4 linked regions of the Arabidopsis thaliana genome follow. The protein of the gene in region 2 interacts with the protein of the main gene of each other region in a pairwise test. Each region holds a gene or a part of one and is shown on either strand. Other genes may lie near its edges. The genes, in order: AT1G04360, CRK40, CNGC9 and IRX1.

Region 1 (4,265 bases), on a different chromosome or scaffold from region 2:
TGTGTGTGTGTATAATTTTAGTGAATGCTTTAAATTGGGAATAAAGGTTCAAACTTGATCAGCATCTTGTCAATCACAGTTTCTTGACTAAATTGAAACTAGCAATACCAAAAGAAAGAATTATATACAAGCTAAAGTATAATCAGTAACCAAACTAAACCAGTAGCAAATGTTATTGAACCAAACAAAACCGATCAAAGATTGCTTGTTGTAGCCAACCAAGGCAAACCTGCAACCATTCGGTACTTAGCTCGCAGAAAACTGATCAATACTATCTTCACGGTCTGAGGATCCACGCCGGTTTGATTGCAGAAACCGATTTTAGGATTTACTAATTCCTACGCCGGAAAGTCGTCATGCTCAGTTCCTCCTCTGTCCGATTTGATACGGACCTTAAAGGCGAGTCTGCGGCGACAAAGATTTATTTGGGCCTTTATGCTTTTATGCATTTGGGCCTTTATGTGTTTAAGCCGTTTGGGCCTCACAGGTTAGTTCTTTGTTTCCTTTTTTTTTTTTCCCTGCAGTTCTTTGTTGGGATTTGTTTTCGTGTAACTCGTTTAGTGAAAAACACTATTTATTCAATTTTCAGAAACTTCTGTAATTACTATTCAAGTAACTCATCTACTCCTATGACTTGTAAACATTGAACATGTGTATTTGACAAAGAAGAAACATGTACACTATATATCTTTCTCTCCTACTTCACCTTCCAAAATATTTTTTTTTAAATTCACCTCAGCAAATAACAAATACAAAAAATAATTTTTTTGAACAATGAATCAAGAAGAGGAAAATACAGAATTAGGGTTCCAAATAAACAGGTAATATTGAAGAACTTTTTGAAGTTCTACTACTTCCAAAAGAGAAGAAACATCTCTTCATGACTCTGCTATTACCACCACCACTACTGCTACTATCTTCACCGTCTCCAGCTACCGGAATCTGCCTGTTTCTCCGGCTGATTTCCTCTTGGACCGCCAAGTACAGCTGACGATCCACTGATGAATCCATCGAGATCGATCTTCTTATGGGCTGAATTTCACCAAAATGACCATCTTTGCCTCTAGTATCGATACATTCGTCTCCCATACTCGTCACTTTGTGAAATTTCCTTTCTTTCTTATACATTCCCCGATTACCAAACTTTATAGGCAAAGGACTCACCGATTTCGGGCTGTTTCCGGTCGAGACCTCATTCGAGGTAACCCTTTCTTGCTCCGTAAGGAAGTCTATGTTTCTCACGCTTTCTCTGTTGTTACCATTACTGGCCCCAAGCTCTATGACGACGAAGTCATCATCGCCTCCTAGAACCAGGCCGGGTTCGAGATTCCTGTTCCGAGAATGAGGGCTATTCTCCCGAGGAGAGCTCGGTGCAGAGATTAGGTCAAGAGTGAAACTTGCTTCGCAAGAAACGCTGGTTCTGCACAAGGGACAATTTGCGTTGCCCTGAAGCCAGATATCAATGCAATCAATGTGAAACACGTGGCAGCAGTTAGGAATAATCCTTAGCTTCTCGTCTTCTTGAAACTCGTTTAAACAAACAGAGCATTCTTGAGAGTTCTTACTCTGATCTTCTTCTCCTGCAACAACGTCTCTCTTCTTGAATTTGAAGACTGGGATAGCTCTAATGGCGGATTCGTCTAGTCCTCTGTTTACCTCATGAGGAGAGTAAATCATTAGAGGGTTTTGGTCACTGCTTCGTCTGCGGCGGCGAAAGATGTCGATTTGGTGCCAATTAAGACAGCATTTGATCACGAAGATGTAGTAACTTACAAGTAAGAACGCAGTGGCTAAGATTCCAATCACTGCGATGGCCAGAATGGGGAAATTGGTGCCGGAAGAGCTTGTTCGTGGGAATATAGGGCTTGTGAAGGTCGTGGATGGCGGCGGAGGCGGCGGCGGAAAAACAAGATTGTTAAAAGGGTTACGACGGTCTGTTAGATCCATTTGACTACAAAACAATCTAAATGAAAAGCTCCCTCTAGGATTTGAAGGGAAATATTCAGTAGAAAACGAAAAAAAAAATCAAGAAATCAAGTAATTATTTTCTATTGAATCTTTTTCCTCCCTACTCTGAAAGTGTTTATATATACGTAATTGCGTGTGTAAGAGAAAGATCAGAATAGTAGAAGAGATAGTGGTAGAGAAGAAAAACAGAGATGAAGTAATGAAATGAAAGAGAGAGAGAAAGAGTTGGTGAGATTTCAGAGGCTCTTTCTTATATGACTCATTTATTTATTTAGGTTATCATCTTACTTTGTTTTTTTCATCATTTAGGTTATCATTTTGCTGAATCTTTTAGGAGTTTTTTTTTTTTCCTCGATCTATGTGACTTGTTTGGTGTAAGAGTTTTCTTTTTATTTAAACATTTTTTGTAGTACTTATGGTGAGGAAAACAATAAGGAAAAGCTTACTTATATTCAAGTGGAGTAATTTAATTGACATTTTGAGTTGGATCTTCTGATGATAGTGAAAGTTTTGTTTGTCCATGTAGATTACGTTTATATTAAAGTCGTATGTAGTATAATGATGATATAATTGGATTCGCTAATACAGTATAGTGGTCATTTTTCAATAATTAGAATCTGTGAACTCCAGCTAACCACACTTGTCGGTTAATTAAATTGATATGTTTAGACAGACTATATATTTTGTGAAGGATCCTTTGAAAATGTAATAAATTTATCTTATTCAGAAGAATATCTGCAAGTAATTTGCTCTAAACTATGGTTCAAAATAGATAATATGATAGATATCGAAGATCTAGTTATGATTCGAAACGGTCCAAGAAAGATCCCCGAAAAAGACACAAGGTTAGTAAGACTTATCCTTTCTCTGTCTAATCCCGTCAAAATAGAAATAAAAGAAAAGTCAAATCCACCGCAGAAATAGTTCAAAGTTTTCGTTTTGGTTTTCATCTTTTATTAGTTTAAATATATAAGAAATGAGATGAGATGTTAAAAAAAACAAAAAACAAAACAACAACTGGTAAACAGAAATAAAAAATGATAAAGAAGGACAATGTTTCCATACTCACTAGTCTCTATCGTGTATTTATGTTTGACGAGTTTGGCTCACGACAGAATAGAACATAATAATAGGTCCGGTGAGAAGTATAGTTTCGTTTTATATTTGAACCTTTTTCTCTTATCAATAATGTATTGTCTTTAGCAAAACAATTGTGACTATTTTTGTTAGTTGTTTGAGTAATTTTGGGTGTACGTATTTGTGTATTATTTATCATCAAAGTGTATATAATCGAATTTTAGATGGACTTATGTTCTATAATACGTTAGAGGATGTATAAATACACATCTTTAACACAAAAAGATATATAAATACACATCGACTTATGGCGTTCTTAGTTTTGTCCTAACATAATAAAAACGAAAACGTGCCCACGACGGAGACAACCCTTAGTGGAAAGTAATTTGTTGTTTTTGCATTATTTTTATTTTTATCCAAACAACTAATATTCATAAGTGGCTCCCGATGAAAATCCGTAATCACGATTGTCAAAAGAAAAAAAAAATATAGTGGGAGAAATCACAAATCGACAAAATTAGATTCAGATCCATGTTTACAAATTTTTTTAATTTTTTTTTTTGTTGAAGTGTTGCATCAGTTAAACCTAAAAATCGACAAAATCACAATTGATGCTTCGGCAGTAATTACAAATAAACAAATACTACAACCAGGGCAGAGCAGCAGAAGAATATTTCATATAGAACTTAGTGACATTGTATTACTTAAATTTAAACTTTCTTAAATCACCATTAAAAACAGTTGATTCATGAAACTTGTGAAAAACAACTCATCAGTAGTTTTCACATGGACTGACAACAGCTGTGAAAGCTTTTGGTTCAATTTTGGGAGGATTTTACTAGAATCCAATTATTTGTACAATTCAAAACTAATATGAAAAAAGAAATCTAGGCATCTCATTAATATAGTAGAATTTTGTTTCCGCATTAACAATTGACTTTGACTATAGACTACTCTTTTAAGAATGAGGTCCTGAGGATCATCATCATGCGCCACGTCGACGACTCAGGTCAACACAGCAACGGTGAGATGGATCAGCATTCAGCAGCACGTGATGCTTGGTCGGTCACGTGTGTGCGTCAGACCATCATCGATACACGTCGCTCCGAGATATGAACTCGATCTCTATAATTTTCTTTGTTTTGTTTTGATGTTCGAGATTCTATTAGTTGCATTGATCAGGATCGTCTTCTAGCCCTACGCTACACTATAAAAACATA
Region 2 (5,573 bases):
AAAAATATATTAGAAAGAACTATATTAGGTACATAGATATACTCTTATTTGGGAATTCTGAAAATATCAAGGAAAATTCCTTATATTATATTTTCAACAACAAAAAAAAAACTTCCTTATATATATGTTCATACTAAGATAAGAATCAAGTAGAGTGGCTAAAATCAGGAATTTGATTGGTCAGAAAAGATTTTTTATCCTCACTCTATTGGTCATGTAAAATTAAAATCAACTTTGAAATTTATTGGTCATTTAGAAGAAATATATTAGGGAGAACTATATTAGGTACGTGATATATTTTGTTTTGGGAATTAATGTGAAAATACTTAAAAACAATTGTTATATTATAATATTTGTTTTAACAAAAAGAAAGAAAAAAACTTCTTTATAATTCTATTTAGAGTAAGATATATCAGAATAAAGTAACTGAAATTAAGAACTGATATTTTATCTGATTGTTAAGAAAAGATTTATTATCTTCTCCTAATTGAGATTTATAAGATATTTCAGTTATTATTAAATCATATTTATATGTGCAACATTTTAAGTTTATTTATTTCTTACCTCTATAATATTAATTAATATTGGTGAAAATAGTTTTAAAACAAAACTGGACGCGAAAACCCTCTTGGCCCAAAGGTTAATCAAGAGTTAATAAAGCCTTTACACCAAAGAAGTCTAAAGTTCGAATCCAAGATTATGCGATTTACTAACAAATTTGCAGATTAATGGAGTTTGATATTAAAAAATATTCAAATATTTTGATTAACTGATGTATATCTCAACGACAACTCAACTCCGTGAAGACATCGTCGCTCAATGACATTGCACCACTTTCAGATTGGGATCGAATCCAAGTGAAAGCAGGAGCTTTAGGTAAAGGAATGATGATAGTCTCACTGCCAAGCCAAATTATTACAGAGCTCATGGTTGGTCTCTTTGTTGAATTCTCTTGAACACACAACAAACCAATTTGGATCAACTTGATGATCTCATTTCTTGGATTCTCTATTAAGAACGGATCAATTATAATCTCAGGCTTTCCTTCAACCCATCTTTTCCATGCCTACACCAAAAACATAAGTTCTTACTTTCGGGATAAAGTTTTGAAGATAGAAAAACAAAAACTGATATGTGAAGAAGCTTAAGGTCGCCGGTTCGAGTAACGCTTGGAACGAAACTAATATTACATGCTGTGGTTTCGGTCCTGGGGGGATTACGGGCTTCGGCCCAAAACCTCCAGCTATTCAAAAAAAAAAAAAATTGTGAAGAAGCTTACAAAAGCTGCAAGTCCTTCTCCTTCGAAGCTATTGTTTCTTTCACCACTAATCATCTCTAGAAGCATAACACCGAAGCTATAAACGTCAGATTTAGCTGAGATTTGTCCATGATTCAAGTACTCAGGAGCCATATATCCACTGCATATATGCAAACCAATAGCATTAATTCATGGACTCTGTTTTCAAAACAGAGCATTTGAAATGTGTCATCAAATTTGATTGATATATTTCTTACCGGGTTCCAGCTATTCTTTTTGTTTCAGCTCGAGTCTCGTCGGAGTCGAACAACCTCGCAGTCCCGAAATCCGCAACTTTAGGGTTCATCTCAGCGTCTAAAAGTATGTTGCTTGCCTTCAAGTCTCTGTGAATAATCTTCAGCTGAGAATCTTCATGGAGATAGAGAAGACCTCGAGCAATGCCTTCTATAATTCTGAACCTCACCTCCCATGTAAGAAGAGAACGCTTATCTTCATCTGCAGAGTTCAAAGAAACATTTAGTTTGCTAAAAGTTCTAAATCTATCCAACTTGGCAGCTGTCTTTCGAAGGCTCACCAAAGATAAAGTGATCAAGACTTGAGTTGGGGACAAACTCGTAGACAAGAATCTCTTCATCTCCCTCATTACAGAACCCAAGAAGCTTAACAAGATTCTTATGTTGGAGTCTTGTCAAGAGTGAAACCTCATTCTTAAACTCCATATCTCCTTGTCCTGATCCTTTTGTTAGTCTCTTGACCGCTACCTCTTGCCCGTTTGGGAATGTCCCCTGAAACCCATTCTCAAGATATCTATTTACTCATAAAAGACCAATGTTGATCAAGAACTCATCATTAAGGAAAAAGTTTATTATTACCTTATAAACCGTACCAAATCCACCTTGGCCAAGCGTATTTTCAGAGGAGAAGTCATCAGTTGCCATTACGATCATACCAAGATCAAACCGTAACATGAATTGACCATCAGAATCAGAGTATTCTGCACTACCAACTAAAAAAACAAAAAATCCATAAGCCTTACTCTCTACATCATAAGCTTGATTGAAGCAAGTTACACTTACCATTATTTAATTTTCCCCTCCGTGCATAGACTTTGATAAAGCCAATAAACACCAAAAGATTAATGAAAGTAAACACCACAACTATTGCGATAATTCCGCCATACCCAATGCTTTTCCCTGCAAATTACCAACCCTTTGTCTAAGAATTAACCTCTTAATCATAATAACAATTTGGCACGAAAAGTTCATACCAAACCGCTTCATGTCACTTATGTAAACAATATTCCTCAAAATTGGCTCTTTTGAGCTCTAAATGAAAGCTAAAATAATTTGTGTTACCTTTTTTTACTGTTATGCAGCTCTCCTTTTCCTGAGCATGAGGTCGAGGAGGAGGCGCAGGAACTCTTGTTACATTATCAAAAGCATTATGGAAAGAATATAGATCCCACCTGAAATAACAGCTTGGAAGACTAGCCATGCCTCCTTTTCTTCCCATATAGTCTTTTCTAAAGTACATCACGCAATCTCCCAAACATTGCTTGCAATCTCGTGAACTTAAGTCGGGTGTGCATTGCATCAGCATGTAAACATCTGGAAACTCGGTGAAACCCGCTTTTTCGGCCTTATAGTACTTAAGCACCGAGGAACCTTCAGCTTTCGTGGCAGCCTCTAGGGTCCGATTAACCATTTCTTCCCACTGTTGTTTGAAAAGGGTTATGTTTTTAGATGACTCTATAGTATCTGGACTTGGCCATACAACAGGAGGTTTAAGCTGGACGCTCCCAAAAGTAGACTGGTTTGAGGAACGTACAAGACAAGTTACATCGTCATTGCCTCCCCATATGAACGAATCCCTACGGCTTCGACAATCTGTTAGTGTGTTCTGAGTCAATGATTGGACACAATTGTAACAAGCGTCTTGGTCGTAGCCTCTTGCGCAGCTGACAAGAGCGTAAACTTTGTCGGGATCTTGGCCGAGTGAAGCGTTGTAGAATCCGTCGTTGATGATGACTTTGTCAGCAAGAGTAGGGAACAGTTTCTGGCGATTCTGAGCGAAGGTGCTGCTGTTACCGTTGAAGGAGTTTCCGAAACATTTGACCGCGTTAACAACATGGAGTGTTTGAAGGACAAGTAGAAGAGAAGAAGAGAGGAATATCATCAAAGCAGAGCATTTTCCCATTTTTGTTTGTTAAAGATAACAACTTCTTTGGTTTTTTTTTTTTTGATGTACTACTTGAAGTAGTCTACTTCGTTACTGTTAAGTATAGTAATAAATTTTTGAGCTTTGTTTATATTTATATAGCCTACCAGCTTTGACATTTGAAAGGTTCCAAAAAGAAAACAAAATATGGCCTAATTTTCTTCGTTACTGTAAATAATAATCACAAGTTATCTTTCAATGGTAAGTTGGTTGATAATAATCAAATGTAATAACTAGTAAAAAAATGAAACATGGCAGTTTTTTTTCCCCGGCAATATTATCATAAACAGTTTTGCATAATACATGAACCATTCACATACGACCATTGACATAAACAGAGACTTTTATATAACGAGAAACATGTCAGTGAAAAATAGTTAACAATGAAATGATAAGTCGCTGAATTACTAAAAATATAGAGATTATATAAGTTACGTTTTCGATTTGTGTTGGGAAAAATCTATTTTACAATGGTTCCTCTGTTTTTTAAGAAGTGTTGTTTAAGCAAAAACAAATAGTTTCATTTTATTTGTTGTTTTCAATTTTTAATGGAAATTTTATTATTTTTGACTCTTAGAAATTCTACAAAACTTTTTTTTCAATTTGTTGAATTGTTTTTAAATAGATAATTAACTATATTAAAAGATAATAATAAAAAACGAAATAATTTCATTTGTGCCAAAACCTTGAAACTTAAACTACAAATAAATGACAATAGAGGGAGTAACAAATTAAATAATATACTTATAATCATTTCTAGGAAGATGTACAGACTCATTCACAATCAACTTCTTAGTCAAAAATTATATGTAATAGTAAAATACTAAAATGTGGAAAAGATAGTGATAGAAAAACACAAATAAATGAAATGTTTGGTATTACCTGTGAGACGTTAACCCATATTAAGAACTTTTGGTCCCCAGTCCCCACAAAACCTTGAAAAAACGCGTCTTTGTTAACTTCCAAACTGAGAGAAAATGCGTATTGGTTGATTTTTCAAAGATTCCAAAAATGGCTACCCACAATATAGAGATAATAGCAAAACAAATTCTTTTTCTTTCGTGATTGATTTTATGAATAGCTTCTTGGACGATTCCGCAATAGCAACTCTTCCACCAATTCACGGATCCACAATATACGGTTCTACATACAGTTATACATTATATATTTATATTTATTATAAATTTATGAAGATGCAGATTCTGACAACAACGAGCTGATAAACATCATGGAGCTGTTGGAAATTAGGAAGCTGCATCAAATCTGTTAGTTTATAATTGAGTTTGGTCTATAAGTTATAATTATGTTGTATTAAAAGGTGTTTGTTAGAGTCGTGACTTTTAGATTAGGTTGTGTCGTTTATCTTAGAGAGAAAGAGACACAACTCTTTACTTATTGTGTCTATTTGTTTTCTATTTAAACTTTTTGTATCGTGATGAAACGAACAAGTTCTCCATTCAATAAAAGTCAGTTTCTCTTTTGCTTTGTGTATCTCATAAGAAACAGAACAACAAGTAAACACTTGTTTTTTCTTTGTAACAAGAGGCTTCAATTTCCAACATGGTATCAGAGCCCTACTGATTCAAGGGCCAAACATTTCAAGTAAAGAGTTTAATAAACACGAGAGAGTTATGGAGATGGTGTCACACATTGTGACTCCAATCTTCAACAAAGAGAATTATGGTTTTTGGCGCATCAAGATGAAAACAATTTTCCAGACAAAGAAACTGTGGGAAATTGTTGACGAAGGAGTTCCAAAACCACCCGCAGAAGGAGATCATAGCCCTGAAGCAGTGCAACAAAAGACACGATGTGAAGCAGCATCCTTAAAGGATCTAACCGCTTTGCAAATTCTTCAAACTGCCGTCTCAGATTCCATATTTCCGAGAATCGCCCCTGCATCAAGCGCACTTGGAAAGCCTTGGTATTGGAATTTCAAGGATCACCACAAGTCAGGATGATAAAGCTTCAATCTCTTAGAAGGGAGTATGAGAATTTGAAGATGAAAGAAAGTGACAATATCAACACTTTCATGACCAAGTTGATTGAGATGGGAAATCAACTGAGAGTTCATGGAGAAGAGAAATCAGACTATCAA
Region 3 (5,821 bases), about 13 Mb from region 2:
CAGATATGGGACTTAGAAGCATAACCATAGCGAAAGACAATGAAAAACTACGAGGTTACTTTGGAGACGTTGAGGTCCCAGCATCTTTAGCTATTATAAAATGTCATCAGGATGAAGTGTTGGAACTTCCTGAGTCTGCTACACTACTTGCTTCTTCTGAGGTATGTAACGTCGAGATGTTCTCTATTGGAGATCATTTTTTCTGTATTCAAGGGCATCCAGAGTATAACAAAGAGATTCTGTTTGAGATTGTGGACCGAGTCCTTAATATGAAGCTGATGGAGGTTTGTTCTCCTTCTCTATGATCTCTATTTTTGCTAGATAAACATTTCGGAGTGTTCTTGTTCTCAATGTAGTTAGCCTTATCAAGAATTGCAATGTGATTGATTTTTTTCAGCAAGAGTTTGCGGATAAGGCAAAGAGTACGATGGAGACTGCGCAACCAGACAGGATTCTATGGCAGAAGCTCTGCAAAAACTTCCTGAAAGGTTGATGATCCGAGACTATGTTATCTCTGTATGAACTTATCAAAAACTATGTCATCTCTCAATAAACCTGCAGTATCTTTCATATTTTATCTTCAGGAAACAGAAAGAAACACATATAAAACAAATCACAATCACAAATAATCTTTTATGTTACCACCTTTTTCTTTATCTTAATGTAGCAACACAAATCAAACAATAAAATTCAATCCGAGTTATACAAGTTATAAGCGTTCATAGACATTAGCACTTTTCTGGTAAAATTTGGTCAACTAGTATCATCAGCAGAGAAATCAGGTTCTGAAGGCTTCTGATATTTCACAAGTTCTATAGTAGACTTTGCTTCAATACGGTTCTTGTGAACTTTACGAAGTGCATTTGCAGCAAACTTTGAAGCCAGGAACGTCGCTCTGATGCTAGTAACTGATCCTTCTCCTTCTTCTTCTTCTTTCCTGAGTTGCTCAAGTTTCTTCTTCTTCACGTATCGTCGCCACGCGGCTTGTATGAAGATAGCAGCCCAAGTTCTCCATTGTTGCGAGTAGAATCTGAATGTGTGTTGAACTTGCCTGCTGTGTAGTCTTCTGAACTGGCTAGCCACAAATTTGAGCTCATCTGCTATCAAAGCAAAAGCCTCTACTTCAGTTAGAGCCTTTGCGGTTCTGGTAGAGGATGGTAGGTTGGAACCAGATTTGGGATCAAGTGCCCATGTCAAAAGCTCTTCCCCACAGAAATCTCCTTCTTTAAGCAAACTGCGGTTGAAGAAACCGCTTCTTCCGCCATCGGTGGTCACACTCTCAAGCCGACCACGGATAATGAAGAGCATCTCGTTAACCGGGTCGCCTTCCCGAACCAAATAAGAGCTCTCTGTGTACAGACACGGCTTCAACCGCTCACAGATTGCATCGAGCAGCCTCTCATCCATATTCTCAAACAATGGAACCTTTCCATAAGAAAAATAGAACAAGATGGTTTCATTTATGAATCAAGATTAGAAAAAGGCTTTTAAAGTAAGATTCAACTTACCCTCCGAACCAAAGCCAGACAGAGATGGCGTTTGATATCTCTTCTCAGATCCTTTGGGAGGTTCTGAACCAAATTCTCTTCATCAACTCCGCGTGTCTCCAACCATTTGTACTGGTCATATCGTCTGACTCGTTCTCGCAGTTCCGGTGGAAGCATTCGATGATGCATCCACTGTTCTGAATCACGTCTTTTCACTCTCATTTCTTCAAGCCGGATTGTAAGGGATTGAAGATAAGTCTGCATGTTTCCAATAAGAAGAGCAAAGAGAAGAAGTCCAGCAATGGCAAGTGCTATGGAGAATATAACTTCTCCAGGGTATGTGCTGGTTTCAAGCCCTTGACCAAGAGTGCTGCATTTGACATCGACAAAGTTACTAATGCAACAGAGACTTTTCATAATGACTATAGAAGACGGATTCTTTAGAATTACGTACCTGAGATTCTGAAGTCCCCACCATAAACAGAAGAAGTACTTAGAGACAAAGCTCTTAGATGAGACAATGCCAGAGGACAAGGCTCTTAAGTAGATCCCAAAATCAAAAGGAGGATTATCGGTTGTATTAACTGGGCAATTTAATTGCAGAACAGAATCTTTGATGGTAGTCCAAGCTGCATAACCATCCATTTTTTCATTACCACAAAACAGGAAGTTTCTGTGACAGTCCAAGCTGCTATTACTGCAAACCTTGGTCCAGCATCCATTATAACGTTCCAAGGCCAATAAGTACCATATAGCCCCAACAATCTGATAAAAACATAAGGGAAAAAAGAGAGAGTGATGAATGGATCTTTTGAGAATATAAGAGGAAAGCTACCAAAGATAGTATGTACTGACATGGCTTGCGAGCATGTAGAGTAGCAAGTAATAAGCTGCACCAGCCCAAGCAGTTTCAGCAAAAACACCAGCTGTTCTCTTTAACTCTGAGCTCAAAGGATACAACCGAATGAATCTTGGAATATATTGAACTAAAATGATAGATCGCAATGCCCGCTTTGTTGCTAGCACACTTGCACCTTTAGAGATGTAAAGAAATCTCCAAACTACAATCTGAAAAATCCAAAGAATAACATAAACTAGTCATAAAAATTTAGAGAACAAAGAAACAATGGAAGATAAGAGAACACTGGGAGAGGCATTTCTGTTATTACCTGTGGAAGTGGAAGCACAGAGAGAAAGTCAATGATGAAATACTGCTGCAAATAACGTTTTGCTATCTGTGCAGGGTCAATCACAAGTTCGCCTCGACCAAAAACCCGAGAAGAAGGGGCGACAAAAGCTGTTCTAAACCGAAGAGCCATGTGAAAAAGATAAAACGCATCAATTACTGTCCGCAGCGTTGTTGCTATAATAGCCAACTTCCGGTCTATACCGATACATTTCTCATTATCCTTAACAAACGGAAGATACAAGAAGAGCGGATCCACAGACACAGCGAGAATGCAAGAAGTAACAAACAGTTTGTTACAGAGCAAAAGAAACTTGTCCTGTGGATCAAAAATCTTCTTCTCTGATACTTTAAGATCTTCAGGAAAAACTGCTCGTGAAACCCCTAAACCAATTGATCTTCCTATAGACCAAAGACCTTTAGAACCTTTTCTAAACCCTTTCTTAAAGGAACCAGAAGATACATTGTTTCCCTGAGCACCACCACCACGTGTTGGTCCTTGTAAATTGAGAGTGCATCTGTTTAGACCAGTATCAGAAGTCTGCGAGTACCTAGAATCCATACTATCCAACCTGTGAAGAACAAAATAAACTAAAGATATCCATTTAGTTTCAAACCTGAAGTAAAGGAATGTCCTTTTTGGCTAAACAATATCTGAATCTGCTAGAATGATATCATCATGTTAAATTTCGATCAACTATATACAATAATGAGAGTTACCTTACAAACTTCTCGAGACGGCCACTGATTACTTGTGATTTGACTGCTTTTTTGCCACAGTCTAACATGCTTTTTCCTTGTGACTCAACTCATGAATCCCAAACCTGTTTTTACACACATAAGAAAATGTAATAAACATTTATGATCAAAATCATTTCAAGCAGCAAAATCCTAAACTTGCAATAAATATAAAAATAATTCAAGCACAAAAAATGTTATTGTTTGTTTACAGAATCTCTCTAAAAATCAAACTTGGTTAATGGGTTAAGAACATCCATCCATTTTCGTTGACCTGAGAACTCAAATTGACGGAAAAAACTTGAAAGGAACCACATTTTCTCCCCAAACCAAAACATCAACAAAAGGGTACAAACGAAAAAACTAAATACTTGAGTTTTCAGCATGAAAACGAGACGATCTTAAACGAGAAAGGTGTCAACCAAAATCAAGCAATGGGAAGTACAAAATGAAGATCATTCCAAACAGTAATTGGCTAAGAAATTAGGAGGGAATGCAAGAGATATACCAGAGAAGAAGACGAAGGAGAATTACGGTAGAAAGAAGTTACACGCCAAATCAGACGGAGACGAGAGAAGGGTGAAGAAGAAAGTGACAATGGAGTGGGAGGAGACGAAGTCGTTTCACAGATGAAAAAATATTGATTTTGAGAGAAATATCACAAAGACAGAAGAGAAGAAGAAGAAACTGAAAGTGTCTCCGTGCCGTCCGGGTCGGGTCCACTCTCTCTCTCTCTGCCGTCACGTCTTTCATTTTTCTCAACGTTAATTACATACACCAAACTATAGTCTATTAATAAATCACAGTTTCGTGTTTAAGAAACATAGGCTTTATCTACAATAATTTATATGTCCCTTATAAGAATGTCTCAAAACATTTACGAAAGAAATATACACAACTTGCTTAGGGATGGATCTGAAAAACGTTTTTCTCTATTGGTGTCGAATACCATTTTTAACCGGTTTATGATATGGTTTACCATAGAGTTTGTATCTGTTTTAAATTGTAAGAATATTGCGGTTCATAAGACTCTGGAAACAGTGGAACTAACTAATCTAGGTCTAGGCTCTGGTTTCACAGACCTTGCTCTTCGATAACAACCCCACTGTTGTAAACCTCTGCATCGGCGACGTTAACATCTTTGCCAAGAACCGTTATATTAAAAACTCGAGCCCACCTTCCAACGGTTGAATCCCATCCCACGATACTATTAGAGATACACGCATGTTCCTTGATCCACACACCGCGCATTACAGTACAACCAAACAATCTTACACCTGAATCAATCACACATCCCGGACCAATCACCACATCAGGTCCTATCAAGCAACCTTCTCCTATAACCGCACTTTCGTGCACGAGAACATTCCCGATTATGTTATCCCCTGTGGCCAGTTCTTGCGGAGTTTTCTCTCTTAGAGAGTTAAGGTACATTCTTTGCCCGGTTATGTAATCTTTCGGTTGACCAATGTCCATCCAAAAACCAGGTAGTACCATCGCGTAAAGCTTCTTCTCTGAAGCTATCTTAGGGAATATCTCTTTCTCTATCGAAGTCCTTCTCAGCTCAATCCTGTCAAGAACAGATGGGCTCAAGAGGTATATCCCAGCGTTGATCTTGTTCCCCACAAAATGTTTCGGTTTCTCGACAAAACTTTCAACTCTCGCTGTACCTTCCTCTGTAACCACCACACCATACTTAGAAGGATCATCAACCTGTTAATATCAGAAAATGCTATTAACAGATGAAAGATAAACTTCACAAAATGCAGAAAATGCTCCTGTTTGACTACCTCGGTCACCATGATTGATGCTTCAGCACGGTTAGTCTTGTGAAACTCGATCATCTCAAGCAATGGGTATTCACAGATAACATCGCTGTTTAGTACAAAAAAGGGTTGGCCTGATTCATCGACCAGCTTATCCCGAGCCAGCGCGAGAGGCCCTGCTGTTCCAAGCGGTTCAGTTTCTTGGGAAAATGTAATCTTAATCTCTAGCTTCTTCTCATATTCTTTCACAAAGTTCAACATGACCTGAGTAATACCAAACACACAAGGAGAAGGAGGATGACACGGAAGAATTTCAATTGTTATCGTATCGTTATTAAGGACAATGAATGTATGTACCTCTGGTTGTTGGTGATTGATAGCTAATACAACTTCAGTCACTCCAGCACCTTTTAGAGCTTCAATCTGCGAATGCATCATAATGAGAACAAAAGAAACTGTGAAAACTTGAGCAAATACAAAAGAAGAAGAAGAAGCTAACCTACCTGATGCAAAATCATGGGTTTGTTTCCAAAATCAACAAGTGGTTTAGGCATGCTCAAGGTAAGTGGCCTCAATCTGGTTCCGAATCCTCCAACTAGAATAAGAGCCTTCAATTCTGCATAAATATAACCAGATGATCTACT
Region 4 (6,453 bases), 8.0 Mb from region 2:
GATAAAGATTGTTGCAGAAAGAAACATGGAGTGAAGAAGAGGACAGAGTGTTGATAGAATTTCACAAAGAGATTGGAAACAAATGGGCAGAGATTGCGAAAAGACTCCCGGGAAGAACAGAGAACTCGATCAAGAACCATTGGAACGCAACAAAAAGAAGACAATTCTCTAAAAGAAAATGTAGATCTAAGTATCCAAGACCTTCTCTGTTGCAGGATTACATCAAGAGCTTGAATATGGGAGCTTTGATGGCTTCTTCTGTTCCTGCAAGAGGTAGACGCAGAGAGAGTAATAACAAGAAGAAGGATGTTGTTGTTGCGGTTGAGGAGAAGAAGAAGGAAGAGGAGGTGTATGGACAAGACAGGATTGTGCCTGAATGTGTGTTTACTGATGATTTTGGATTCAATGAGAAGCTGCTTGAGGAAGGATGTAGCATTGACTCTTTGCTTGATGACATTCCTCAGCCTGACATTGATGCTTTTGTTCATGGACTCTGATTTGTATTTTTTATTCTGCTTGTTTCAGTTTTGTTGTTTTTTGTTTGTCTTTTTATACGAGACAGATTCCACCAAACTTCAATAATTTGAAAAGATATAAAATATTTTGCTTTTTAAAAACATGTTGATGTTGAAACAATAGAAACCTAACTTGCGGAACCCGCCAAGACTTGTTGCTAAAATAAGAACATTACTTAACTTGTGGCTCAAGCAACCATATGAAAATTTATAAAACAACCAAAACACATATGATCAATCTTTCAAAATACAAACATAACGTATCTTCTCTTAGCAATCGATCAAAAGACAGTTCAGAGAAAGGGAAGTCGTATCGGTTTTGGAGACGAAAGGATTGATACGAACCCAAACAAGTGAAAACACAGAAGCAAGCAAGATAGACCAGAGAATAACAATAGTAGGTGTTCTGTTTTGTCTTCCCATAAGACCTTTGAGGAATGGATAAAGATGAAGAATCACCCAAAAGGCGAAAAATACCTTCCCAAACAAAGGTCCCCAAGCTTCATAACCTTTGTTAAGAGCGTCAGAGAATCCAGCAACAACTCCGACCAAGTTGATTATAAGAAGTGACGTCGGAGGGATCAAGAGAGTTGTCCATTTGACAATGTAAAGCTCACCGAATTCTAAATCATCTGCGGTTTTCGATGTGACTGTGAAATTTGTGTCGAGACCAGCGAGCATTTTGAGGAATCCTTGGAAAACGGCAAAGAGATGAGCTGAGACACCTCCAATAACCCAAAACTGTTCGTTTCTCCATAAGTCTTCGATACTGACTCCGCTCCATCGAAGCTCGAGGACACTCGTTAAGATGATTGATATAAAGAGACCTAGAAACAGCATGCTTGCTAGGTTTGATAGCTGCAATAAAGAACAGAAACAAAGATCAAATTCTCAATCTTGCTGTAACCTAACCAAAGTAATTAGTAGTATGAAAAAGTTACCGTTGGGATGATAAATTTGCCGGTAAGAAGGCAAATAGCTGGAAGAGTACAGTAAGCAACAAGAGGCAAAGAAGTGAATGGGTAGACAATAGTGTTTATATAAGCTAATCTCTGGAGCAACTTGAGGCGGCCTCCGCTGCAACCGTACCACAAAGGACAATGTCGGCTAAGGAAGATCTCAACCGAGCCAAGAGCCCAACGTAGAACCTGGTGAAGCCTATCTGATAGATTGATTGGAGCAGATCCTTTAAATGCTGGTCTTAATGGCATACAGTAAATCGACCTCCATCCACGACAATGCATCTTGAAACCCGTCAAAATGTCTTCGGTGATCGACCCGTAAATCCATCCTATCTGCGAAAACAGAACGAAAGGTTATAAAATGTACTCACAAGAGAACTTTGATATGAAGAAACAAGGCACTTACTTCTTTTCCCCATTCAGTTTTCTCTTCGTATCCACAGCTAATGACATGAATAGCTTCTTTGATGAGCGTTGACGGGTTTACAGAGTCGGGAACACCGCCATTCTCCATAAGAGTAGACTCGATGAAAACCGTAGAGAGACCAAACGTTTTCTCAAAGCTTGTTTGTGAAATCAGCATCGATCTGTCGTACTCATCGTAGTTGTCTAGGTCCCCAAGATTAAAGATTGCAGCATCAAGTTCTTCTCGCTTTGCATCTTTGTAAATCTCGGAAGGATCTTGAGGTTGTTTCTTCTTGGTTAGACAGCAACACGACGATGATGAAGATTGCGGTAAAATCCTCGGTTTTGAAGGTGGACTGTATCCGTAAAGTGCTTGTCTTCTAAAGACAGTACCTGTACCAACATAAACTGGACCTTGAATCCCATCAAGCCCTCTCATATTAACCTGAAAACATCATATCAAAACCACAAAATATCATAAGAAATCTCAAAACTTTGCTTGAAGTTATGAGTATGAGATAACTTACATCGAAGAAAACAATGTTGCGGTTAGCATATCGATCACTCTTGTCGATTCCATCAAATCTCTGTGGGAACTGAACAAAGCAAACGTCTTGACCAACAACAGGATCCATTAAAAAGCACATTGCTTCACGCACGGCTTTGCTATTGTTGACGTAGTGATCACAATCAAGGTTAAGAATGAATGGAGCATTCGTTAAAACCGCAGACACCCTCACCTACAAAGAACAAAATCATTAGGATTGTGCTAAATTGAACGATAAAAGAAAAAGTTTTGAAGTTTACCAATGCGTTCTCTGCCCCGGCCTTTTTGTGATGCTGATAACCAGGTCTCTTCTCTCTAGAGACGTAAACTAATCTTGGAAGTTCATTTCCTTCAATGTCGCGAGCACCGCTATATCCAAGAAAAACCTGCAAGAAAGAAATTACGTGACTAACAAGAAAAGACAGAGCATTTCAGGTCAAATGTTTTAGCTAGCAAACCTGAATCATCCCGGGATGGTCACGAGTGTTGTTCCCGGGCCAAGATGTTCCATCTTGCATTGTCCATCCTTCTTCTGGTGTCTTTTGAGCCTTGGCGACTAAAGCATTCATTCTTATTTTAAACTCTTCATAATCTCTCTACAAGAAGAGAAATTAGACATTAAGTTTTCGATTCAATCATCGGTTAACGCTATATGAGATTAATTTAAGGTTTTAAAGCCCTTGCTTACTTACTTTCATGGCTCTACGTTCTTTCACAAAAGAAGGTTGAACTTTATCCCTCAAGTAATCGATTTTAAGCGAGAAGTAAAACTCGGGAGCTCGTGGCTCGATGGAGTACTTTTTGCAGAAAGGTACCCATTTCCTAGCAAAATCTGCTGTCTCAACCAAAGACTCAAACGAAAGCATTGCAGCACCATCATCAGATACATAGCAAGAGACTTTATCCACCGGATAATCAAGCGCGAGGATCGAAAGAACCGTGTTTGCAGTTATCAAAGGTGGCTCCTTTAATGGATCTACCGTACTAACAAAGAAATCTACAGCTGCAAGCTGTGATTGCTCGCCTTCTCTTTCGAATCTGCATAGTTTTGATAAATGGTTTCATAAAACTTAAAGATTGGTAGTAACTGCGCAGATTAAGCATATAACGGTTATAAAACATTTGTAACCTTGCGGATAACCGGTCGATGTAAGTTTCTCGGTTAATAGGAGACCATTTAGGGAACTGATCCAACACCCAAGAAACAGCAAACCAAATCTCACATATCACAGATGTTAGCCATAAACCGTAAGCGCTATCGACAGGATGCGTGATACGGTAGTTAAAAAACAGAGCCAAGATGATCAACCGCATGATGATGACAATCCTATATGAAGTGATTTTTGTCCTTGGGATAGGAATCACAACCGAAAGCACATCTGTAGCACCAGATTCTGTGTTCCTGAGAATACAAACGGCAGAGACCAAATCAACGTCTCAAACTTTTTGGTGAATGTTATTAGATTAGTACGAGGATGTGCTTACGGTGGCGTATCTTCCATGTGCTGTTGGGTAGGAATCTGAGCCTCATGTTGTTCAGCTTTTGTTGCTTTTGGATCTTTCTTCTTCTTCTTGCTCTTCTTGTCTTTCTTGTCTTTCCAGCTCTCCACTCTGTTCTTCCAAATTGGATTGCCATATTCATCATTCAGTTCTTCAGGAAGAAACAACAATCCCCAAGTTAGTTAAACTATTAATAACCTCACCAAATGTATACAAAGATTTTGGCTTTGTTTCTTAGTTCTTACCACTGTCTATTGTTGAGACTGTACTTATATGTCTAGCATGAATCCCTGAATCCTGAAAAAGTCAAGATAATGTTCTCAAATTTGTAAAATCTAATTAAGACATAAAAGCAACTAATCTTAGCTAAGCACACAAACCTGAGAAGTGTTATTGGTCTGTGTTGGAACAATGGATTGAGTTTTAGATGTCTTTGTCTCAACATCATCAAACACATTCTCTATGAAAGCAAAACAAAACAAAACAAGTTATAAATACTCTTTAACCAAAAAATCAAACTTTCGAATAAAGTTTGTAAATTTATAATTGTACCATCGTAAGGATTGCCGCAACGCAAGCAAATTCTTCGACCTTCTTTGAATTCATACTCAAGACAAGCTTTGCAGATCGGGAAACTACACTCATGACAAGCCACAAAGAACTCTCCGTTTGATTTTACACCAATCTCTTCACCACAAGTGTTGCAGATGGGAGACCTAGACTCCATCATCTTCGAATTCCCCTGTTTGGAGAAACAGAGAAATGAACCCTAATTAGGGATTGAGATTTGGATGGATAACAAGTTTGAGAAGCCATGAGAGTGGAGGTTTTGTAATAAGAGGAAAAAAAGTTATTAAAAAAAGTTTGGTGGATTGTGAAAAATCGGAAGTTGAGAAGTTTCTTTCACTGGTTTTCTGAGAAAGCTGATGGGTAAGCTAAATTTGGAGCTTTTTTGAAATGATTTTGCGGGAAAGTGAAGGAAAGTTTTAGTTGAGAGGAGTGACACATGTTCTTTGTCTCTAACCAGCGGCAGATACTAGCTTGCTTGCCTCCTAAGCGTCACCGTACTTTCTATATCAAGCTAACATTGAAGTTGTTATATCCGGTTTATTCGGGTCGGGTTATTCACCATTGAAGTTGTTATAATTTTTAAGTAAATCTTTTCAATCACCAACTTTCTATAAGAAAAATAAGAATTAAAATCACTTTTTTGAATCAAATTAATTTTAGCATTAAAATATTTAAATTTATAGTGTAAACAATTATTTAAGACATAAAATTAAAATTTATAGTTAAAATTATAAGACACATATGTATCTAAAAAAAATATTTAGTTTTTTTTTTATTTAGGTAAATGACAATTTGTGACAAATATTAAAGTCTTAAACCTAAAATTTTAATTGTCTTTGTCAGAAGAGAATTTTCACCGTTTACTACTAAAGAAAACACTCGTCATTTGGTTTAATATCTCTAATCTCTATAACAATTTGAGCTTTAGCTGTACCAAAAATAAATTTTGAGATATAATATCACTTCTCTAATTTTGTTTCTGCTTAATCACTTCTCTGTTCATTAACGTTTTTTGCATAATTCTACTCTACATTTGCAATGTTAGAACAAATCAATCTACACTCTTAACCAATTCAGTCTTTGCATCATCACATCTGAGTTTCCTCTGGTCTACTGTCTCAAATAAAACCGTTGACCAAATACAGCAAAACCATCCATCAAATTCGACCTTCTGATTTTGCTCAGATAAGTTGTAAGGGTTGAAGAATACTAAAGTTATGGGTTTCTACGTCTCTGTGGAAACAACTCTCTCTGACATTTCTAAACTCGACCAGGAAGAAGATTGTGAGCTTCTATAAGAAACAAGATAGATGATGAAACTGATGTATCCAACTACTCCACCAAAAACCAGAAACCCAACAAGAAACCCTTCCACTTCAGCCATGAAGAAATCTAGAAGAAGATACCCATTTATCATCATCACAAACACCGCCACAGTCCAAGCTAGCTTCTGCAAAGATCCCAACTAACTCGTTACAATCAAAAGCACATAACAATAAAGAGAGATGACAAAAAATTGCTTTACCTCAAGCGAAGGTCCGATCTTGAAGACACCCATGATATGTTCATTAGAAACCATAGTCAAAAGAGGAATAACCGCGAAAGGAATCTGCATCGACTGAAGAATGTTAAGCCATTCGTTTAAAACATCGAGCGAGCCCTCGGATGTGTTAAACATAATAGCAACAAACATAGTAGGTACAATAGCAAAGCTTCTCGTTATAAAAGCTGATAGCCATTGTTCCATTTGAAGATCTAAGAACCCTTCCATTATAAACTGTCCAGCATAAGTCCCGGTTATAGTACTGCTTTGTCCAGCAGCTAATAAACCAATCCCCCAAATGTATAGTATCGGGAAAACACCACCGCCATATTTCTCTTGTAGGTAATATCCCGCGTTAACCAGTCCTATACTATCAGCTTGTTTGGTTCCATAAAACCCTTTCGCGAAAAC

What was found.
Region 1: the proteins of CRK40 (region 2) and AT1G04360 interact in a protein complementation assay, tested with the Arabidopsis thaliana proteins (one large-scale study listed by BioGRID).
Region 3: the proteins of CRK40 (region 2) and CNGC9 interact in a protein complementation assay, tested with the Arabidopsis thaliana proteins (one large-scale study listed by BioGRID).
Region 4: the proteins of CRK40 (region 2) and IRX1 interact in a protein complementation assay, tested with the Arabidopsis thaliana proteins (one large-scale study listed by BioGRID).

What each region holds. Positions count from the first base shown.
Region 1 is NC_003070.9:1,166,706-1,170,970, forward strand, and holds AT1G04360 (RING/U-box superfamily protein), read right to left. Parts: upstream 2,330-4,265; 5' UTR 1,948-2,329; coding exon 802-1,947; 3' UTR 583-801; downstream 1-582.
Region 2 is NC_003075.7:2,287,926-2,293,498, reverse strand, and holds CRK40 (cysteine-rich RLK (RECEPTOR-like protein kinase) 40), read right to left. Parts: upstream 3,598-5,573; 5' UTR 3,455-3,597; coding exon 2,614-3,454; intron 2,452-2,613; coding exon 2,335-2,451; intron 2,265-2,334; coding exon 2,131-2,264; intron 2,044-2,130; coding exon 1,833-2,043; intron 1,754-1,832; coding exon 1,516-1,753; intron 1,419-1,515; coding exon 1,280-1,418; coding exon of another isoform or gene 1,244-1,279; exon of another isoform or gene 1,067-1,243; coding exon 782-1,066; 3' UTR 549-781; downstream 1-548.
Region 3 is NC_003075.7:14,926,221-14,932,041, forward strand, and holds CNGC9 (cyclic nucleotide gated channel 9), read right to left. Parts: upstream 4,136-5,821; 5' UTR 3,920-4,135; exon of another isoform or gene 3,783-3,919; intron 3,498-3,782; 5' UTR 3,462-3,497; coding exon 3,394-3,461; exon of another isoform or gene 3,246-3,393; coding exon 2,657-3,245; intron 2,556-2,656; coding exon 2,343-2,555; intron 2,253-2,342; coding exon 1,942-2,252; intron 1,858-1,941; coding exon 1,509-1,857; intron 1,426-1,508; coding exon 754-1,425; 3' UTR 614-753; downstream 1-613. Other genes in the region: GGP3 (Class I glutamine amidotransferase-like superfamily protein), read left to right, coding at 1-284, 398-493; AT4G30570 (Glucose-1-phosphate adenylyltransferase family protein), read right to left, coding at 4,486-5,124, 5,202-5,441, 5,535-5,600, 5,681-5,731. UniProt on the Arabidopsis thaliana protein: Putative cyclic nucleotide-gated ion channel.
Region 4 is NC_003075.7:10,312,061-10,318,513, forward strand, and holds IRX1 (cellulose synthase family protein), read right to left. Parts: upstream 4,827-6,453; 5' UTR 4,660-4,826; coding exon 4,482-4,659; intron 4,390-4,481; coding exon 4,310-4,389; intron 4,227-4,309; coding exon 4,175-4,226; intron 4,081-4,174; coding exon 3,915-4,080; intron 3,832-3,914; coding exon 3,559-3,831; intron 3,468-3,558; coding exon 3,122-3,467; intron 3,026-3,121; coding exon 2,888-3,025; intron 2,816-2,887; coding exon 2,690-2,815; intron 2,623-2,689; coding exon 2,410-2,622; intron 2,328-2,409; coding exon 1,884-2,327; intron 1,811-1,883; coding exon 1,457-1,810; intron 1,374-1,456; coding exon 786-1,373; 3' UTR 564-785; downstream 1-563. Other genes in the region: MYB98 (myb domain protein 98), read left to right, coding at 18-497; NRAMP5 (NRAMP metal ion transporter family protein), read right to left, coding at 5,725-5,949, 6,025-6,453.